Linked DNA regions of Astyanax mexicanus. The protein of the gene in region 1 purifies or fractionates together with the protein of each later gene. This does not show direct contact. Links are inferred from orthologs where the notes say so. Each region holds a gene or a part of one and is shown in the gene's direction. Other genes may lie near its edges.

Region 1 (3,757 bases):
AATTTGTTTATTCACAAATTAGTTTTTAAAGAATAACTCAATCAATACCGTAATATAAATGATACATAAACATTTCTAAAAAAAATTATTTAATATTTTCCAAAGAGTATCACAAATGTCGGTTGTGTTGTTTTTACATCTCCTTCATTCAAAGCGCACACAGTGAACGTTTCAATAACAAGAACAAAAAAAAATAATAAATAAAAATCTGTGAGCATCCTATTTAAGTATTTTTAAGTTCCTCTTCCATGTTTGGCAGCACACAGTTCGGAATAAAACGCCAGTAAAACTGAATATTTAGGGAGCAGAAAATGGGAACCTTAATCCATAGTACGTGTTGTGTCAATTGGATTAAAATATATAAAAAAAACAGTACAAATGTCTTTATATTATTGAGCATTAAAGTTTCATTGCTCTTTAAAACAATGTAAATGTATTATAATGCTATTGAGCTTTGTGGTTGGGATGTTCTACTCTGGGGCTGGGGTATTGGGTTTTAGTCCCTGTCTGTGTGAAGTTTCCATGTTCTTCTCGTTTCTGTGTGGGTTTCGTCCGGAAACCTCCAGGTTGACGGTGGTTTCCAGTTAAGAGTATGCTGTGCACGATTGGCTTTCACTTTTCACTTCATTCATTTGCTAAAATATTATTATTTTATGTGGGCACCGAGTGGTCCAGCAGGCTAAAGCGCTGCCACTATAATCAGGAGATCGCTGGTTCCGGTTCCCAGTAATGAAACTTGCCATCAGTGGCTGGAGCCCTGAGAAAGCACAATTGGCCACTCCTTTCCTAATTATCTCATGACTAGGATTTTGCCATATCGTATCAGATCCAATAATATCGCCAACATTATTAAATATCGTGAACGATATTATACCCTGAAATATCGTGCCATATCACCCACCCCTAATTATCACATCAGGGTTCTACTTTTTTTTTACTGTTTTTTGCAAAAAGAAAAATTCACACTGTTCTCATTTCCCATTGTATATTTATTAGAGACAAGATTATATCTGTCCAGTATAGGGCATTATTGGTACCATAACATTCTGGATCATTGATTCTTGTATTGTTTAATGTCTCAATTTGGAGTGTGCAATAGTAAAATTTAATTTTCATTTTTCAGAAGTGTAGCGTATCGTTTTCGCAAAAATACCATTAAATATCGTGATATTATTTTAAAGCCATATCGCCCACCCCTACTCATGCCAACCTATTAAAAACATCTATCTATCTATCTATCTATCTATCTATCTATCTATCTATCTATCTATCTATCTATCTATCTATCTATCTATCTATCTATCTATCTATCTATCTATCTATCTAATCATCTTCTCTACGCAAGTTACGTAGCAGTTTAAGCTGTAGACGCTGCGCAGCTTAGCACTTTTCTTTGTGAATACGCCTCGCTCAGTCGCTCGCTCGGTTTAAGGAGAAGCTCGATCGCTCTGCTACGCGCTCGGTTTGCGCGCTAGCTCCCTAAATTCACAATAACCATTAATTCGGATCGATTTACCAATGGACTGATCAAGGTAAATCATTCTACTGCACTTCTGATAATCGATACCGCCGGGTTCTGGCATGCAAACACGGTTAAATACGGTTTTAGCCAGAAGTTTACAGGCATTTCTGATGGTTAGCCTGGCTAGTTAGCACAGCTAAGCTAACTCCGTTAGCCGCCGCCGCTTCAGTGAACGAGATTCTAGCGGTTAGCTTAGCATAGGTAGCTGAGCTAGTTAGCCATCGATGCTAATTGTGTTTAGCTAGGTTAGCTAGCGTTAGTTAGCTCAGCGCGAGCGGGTTTAATTCGTTTTTCTCCGTTAAAATATACATTGAATTTAATTCTGCAGCGAATTCAAAGCGTTTAGAGACGAATTAGAGACTATTTTCTATTTAATAACTAAAACACCAGAGCTGGAAATGTGTACAATAGCTATGTTAGCTGAGCTACATGTTTATAATCCGCTTAGTTTACTGTATAACTGTAGTTATATTTGTATTAGTTTCAGTGCTGCTTGTGTTATCTAGCTTAGTTATTAAATAATCGTAGGCCTGTCACAATAACAATATTTTCTAGACGATATATCGTTCCAGAAACTATTACGATAAACAATATTATTGTATATTTGATTATTTTAGAACCTTTAGCTAAATATCACTGACATAATGATAATATAATAGCATAAAACAGCACTTATAGCCCTTTAAAGACAACATATTCGTTGTTAATCATAAATTTTGGGAAATATAAGCTAGTTATAGTTTATTATTTACCTTCTTCATTCTGTCTGCATGACTGGCTAAAATACTGTTCATCATTATACATGTGAACAAACATACACATTAATCACTATTATAAACCAGATCACCATTATTAAATATGATTGGGGTCAGGTCTAGGTCTGTCAAAATAATTCCATTATAGACTTCTTCTCCTACAGTATATGAACACAACCACAATTAATTGATTTATCGAAGAGACCCTTGATTAATGTCAATGATCGTGTATGTCCACTTTGTTTAAAAACACAGATTTTACTTTATTACATTACTTTATTTAAATAAGATACTGGTACAAGATAGATGAGGTATAGATTTGTACAAATGTATAGGCATAAGTTTGTATATTATTGATTTATCCAGTCTTGAACAGACATTTTTGATGACCCTAATATCAACAATTATGTGATTCTTTTTTTGTGAGATTTACAATGACATGAATAGCTAAAATGTTGACTTTGTTTAAAAACATAAAAAGAAAAATATGTGAAATTGCTAAGCTGCACGTTCATAATTTGCTTAGTTAGCTAGTTGGTTATATTTGTGTTAGTTTTAGGGCTAGCTTGTGTTACCTAGCTAGTAAATAATCAGAGGAATTTGTGGACAATATATCGTCCCAGTAACTATGCCGATAAATGATAATATTGCCATTTTAAGATTTTTAGCTAAATGTCACTGACATGATGATAATATAATAGTATAACAAATCATTCATTACCTTTTAAACACAGCATATTTTTCATTAATCATATATTTTGGAAAATATATAGTTTATTCTTCACCTTTTACAGTCATGACTGAGTAAAATACTGTTCACTGTTTGTATTTGTATTAGTAAGTCGATAATGTAAATATCCTGACAGGCCTAGACACAAGTTATACTATGGTGTATAGTCTCTATTGTAAGTTACTAATAAGTATATTGGCATCATGAAATAATCTCCTTATTGGTGCATCCCTAATTTAAAGATTAGGTCTTGTAAAAGGTGTAATTAAAATGACAATAATAAGACAGAAACAGAGAAAAATAGTCTAAGTTTTCTTAGTTTTCTTAGACAATGAATTTTTAGAGTTTTTCTTATGTTAACCCATGCAAATTATGTACTTTGACCTAAGAAGAACATAACTAATAATAAAAGCAACTAGATTGCAGTTCCTGCAGAAACTGTGATTGTGTTTGCAGTGCTGATTCGTGGGTGGTTGCTATGGTGTTGCTAAGTGGTTGCTAAGGTGTTGCTGTTATATCCTGTTGGTTGCAATGGTGTTGCTAAGGTGTTGCTATGGTGTATTAAAAAAACAAACACTAATTTAGGATCTGACTTCTTTGGATGTAGTGTGCCTTATTGGTGTAGATACCTTGTTTTTATTTGCAGTTGTAAAGCATTTAATTTGTTTGTTGTTTATATAAAAAGGTCTGTTGTTTTTTGTTCTAACAGTAACTGAGCTGCATTAGACCACCGAGCTCTTTAATAAGAGC
Region 2 (3,757 bases), on another chromosome or scaffold:
TCATATTTTTCATATTTATAATTTTTTATTCTTTTTATATATTTTTTATTCAGCTGGTACCTGAATAGTTTTCACAAAGCACAATCTGTGTTTGAAAGTTAAAGGGAATTAACCAATTAAACAAACATATTTGAATATAAATTAAATCATATTGTGATTATCTGATTATCTAATTGAATATTTTATTTTACATTTAAATATCCATTATTAAAAGTTTATTCAAAGAATTACAGCAAATTGTTTGATTCATCTGTTATTTTGACAGTCCTAGATAATATTAATCATCTAGTAATAATATATATTATTAATAATATATATACACACACACACACACGCGCGCGCAAAAACACCGACACACTACTTTTATGAAGTTTTTTATTTTCATTTTTTTATATATTTTGTTAAAATGTACTACTTTGCATACAACAAACAACATCCTCCCATCCACCCTTCACCCACTCAATTTTTTCATGTTATTTGTCATTGTGTTGCTGCTGTCTGAGTTGCATGAGTTTGATCCACCCAGGAATGGGTGGATCAAAGACCAAGTTCCCAGCAGTGTTATTTTTTTTGTTAGGACATTCCCTGTTAAGTATTACCTGATTTTACAATATTTTTTCTGCTTTTTTATAGGGTCATGATCCATGGTACCTTTTTTGTTTTATGTGATGTTGTATGTTGCTTAATTAAAGAAGGGTTACAAAACTTGTCATACAGTGTATACCCAACGTTAGTGATGGTGTTACTAATTTTAACGTTAGTGTTCTAGTGTTAATAAAGTGATCTATCTGTCTATCCATCTGTCTATCTATCTGTCCCTGGTCTTGTCCTCCTCCTCCTCCTCCTTCTCCTCAGGAGTCTGTTTATCTGACACTTCACATTTGGCGCCTTAACTACTAAAAATGCATGCGAATAGGACGCAGCTCCTCCCACAAACTACAGATCTTCCATTTTTACAGGGGTGAGAGAAATATTTACCTGTAATGTTTAGCCACCAAATTCCGAATTATTTGTTCTTTATATTTTTATGCACATCGTTTCGAATATAGAAGGAACATGTTATACTCAAACACGTCGAATTTAACTTAATTTTATAAAGAAACTTAGACACAGCAGGGTGTCCCCCCCTCCGCAAGAATGGCCGATCCGCCGGCCGGGCTTTGGCGCTCTGTCCGGGCTCCGTGTCTCCCGGGCTGCCGCTGCTGCTGACCTGAGTCCCCGAATAATGCTCAGTATTATCCGCTCGGGTTCATTTATACGCGCCTGATTGTGTTTAAATCATGACAGAGGAGGAGCTGAAGGTTCCGGACGAGCTCTTCAAGGACGTGAAGTTCTACGTGGTCGGGGACATTGAGAAGAAGGTGGAAGTTTTCTGTCATTTTCGAGGCTAGCTCGGCTCGCTAGCTTAGTGAGCTAACGTAGCGTTAGCATAACAGAGCCTAACTGACCGTGTTTTAATGTAAGCAGAAGGCTAAGCTAACTGCTTAGCTAGCTTAGCTCGCGAGCAGCACTTTTCACACTGCAGCGCCGGTGTGGTTCCGCTTTATTAATTAATAAAATATTTAACAGGACAAAATACAACCCATAATATCAGTACAGAAACCTGGTAACCCTGGAAAAGGTGATGTTTTATATCTTTAGTTGAGCCGCTAAAGGTGACTAGCCTAGCCTGCAGCCTCCTTCATTCAGACTGGGGCAGTGGTAGTTAACTAGTTAGCTAGCTAAGTAAAGCTAAGCTAGCTGTTAGCTTGGCTAAGGCTAATGCAGAACATTGTCTTTACAACTAACTTAGCTAGGTTAGCTAACGCTGGCTTATCATAACTTTGTACATAGCTAACTAGCTAACTTAAAGCTCTGGAAAAAATAACGAGATCACCTCAGTTTCTGAGTCAGTTTATCTAATTATGCTATTTTATAGGCATATGTTTGAGTAAAATGAACATTGTTGTTTTATTTTATAAACTACGAGCAACATTTCTCCCAAATTCCAAATAAAAGTATTGTCATCTAGAGCATTTATTTGCATAAAATGAGAAATGGCTGAAATAACAAAAAAGACGCAGAGCTTTCAGACGTAAAACAATGCAAAGAATACAAGTTCACATTCATAAAGTTTTAAGAAATCAGAGTCAATACTTCTAATGTATCTTGCCATGTTCTCCTTCAGCAGTCTTGCACACTGCTCTTTGATAACTGTGTGCCACTCCTGCAACAATTCAAGCAGTTCAGCTTGGTTTGATGGCTTGTGATCATCCATCTTTCTCTTGATTATATTCTCTTGATAGGTTTTCAATTTGGTAAAAACAAAGAAACTCATCATTTTTAACTGGTCTGTTTACGAGGTTCTGTATATTGAAAGTTGTCATAGATGGCCAGCTGTGGTATTTTGGTATGATAACAGCTACCTAACCGAGGTAAGCTACTAGCTATTTGACTGATATAGCTTAGTTAGCTAACATCAAACCTAGTAAAGCTATCCTAGCTAGCTGCCTCCACTCACCATATAATTACTGTAATACATACTGTTAAGTCAAGTCAAGTAGTTTTATTGTCAATACTGCGTAAGTACTGGACATACAGAGAAATAAACAAACGTTACTCTCCTTATTACTTAAGTTACTACAAGTACAGTAAAATAAAATTATGAATATAAAAGAATTAGAGAGACTTAATTTACTATACAACAAGGTTACAGATATAGACATACATGAGACAACAGAAACAAGACAAATGTGATAGGGGGATTAAAGAGGTACTGAGAGAACCAGTATAAAAAGGACCCGTATAAAGTCCAATTATAGTGGTATAAAAGCTTAAGGCTGGTAAAGTGAACGAGTGCACACAGTTCTTTAAATGTCACAGTTGTAGGGGAAATTAAAGTGGGTATAGATAGCGCAAGGATAGGCAGTAGTGCAGGTATGGAATGTGTGAGTGAATATCAGTTCTTGAAAAGTTTCAGTACTGTTGATTCCAGTACTAAGTTTCAGTACTGTGTTGTTAGGGGTGGGCATCCTCACAGCCTGGTGGATGTAGCTCTAGCCTGTAGACAGGTATCGGTCTCTTCGTAAACTTTGTTAGTGAGCTAGCTAGCCAGCCGACTGTCACCCTCTTCTTCTATAAACATGCTCGGCTGCATAGTGCACTATTGCTGGATACATGTAGGCTACAGTACAGGTTTGACGCAGAAGTATAATTTGGGCTTTAGTAGTGTGTTGTGCTGATGGTATGATTAGATCAGACACAGCTGTGCTGCTGGAGTTTTTAAACACCTTGTTCCCTCATTGTTCGCTCTATTAGACACTCCTGCCTAGTAGTTAAGTTAAGCCATAGAAAGAGTTTTGCTTCTGTTGCTGCACAGTTTTTGTGGTGGTCAATTTCATTTACTTTATCAGTACTCACTGAAGGAATAGCTGCCTAAAAGATGCTGTTAGAGGACTGTTCTCAATTCAACAGCTTTTTGGATAACGTGTAATTCTCAACACTGCATTGAGACTGACATGATGGTGGAGAGTTAGGATGCTTGTTTTGTTTGGTCCTGTCTTTCGGTCTTTGCATTTTGGCTCTGAACCAAAGTAGCAGATGTAAAAGGGGTCTCGGTCCAGATCTACTAAACCACGGTCCAGACCTACTAAACCACGGTCCAGACTTTTCAACCTATTACAGGAAGTTGAGTTAATCATTAAATAAAGCAGAGAAAAAAAAATTGGTGTTGGTGAATTGTGCTGAAATCAGACTCCCCTTTCAGGGGTGAAGAGAC

What was found.
Region 2: the proteins of ncoa6 (region 1) and paxip1 purify together in Homo sapiens (co-immunoprecipitation; 6 studies listed by BioGRID and IntAct, with this or other methods). This does not show direct contact. The link is inferred for Astyanax mexicanus from reciprocal best matches to the Homo sapiens genes NCOA6 and PAXIP1.

What each region holds. Positions count from the first base shown.
Region 1 is NC_064420.1:49,310,330-49,314,086, reverse strand, and holds the start of ncoa6 (nuclear receptor coactivator 6), read left to right. Parts: upstream 1-1,410; 5' UTR 1,411-1,532; intron 1,533-3,716; 5' UTR 3,717-3,757. UniProt on the Homo sapiens protein: Nuclear receptor coactivator that directly binds nuclear receptors and stimulates the transcriptional activities in a hormone-dependent fashion. Coactivates expression in an agonist- and AF2-dependent manner.
Region 2 is NC_064411.1:34,833,575-34,837,331, forward strand, and holds the start of paxip1 (PAX-interacting protein 1), read left to right. Parts: upstream 1-1,153; 5' UTR 1,154-1,280; coding exon 1,281-1,361; intron 1,362-3,757.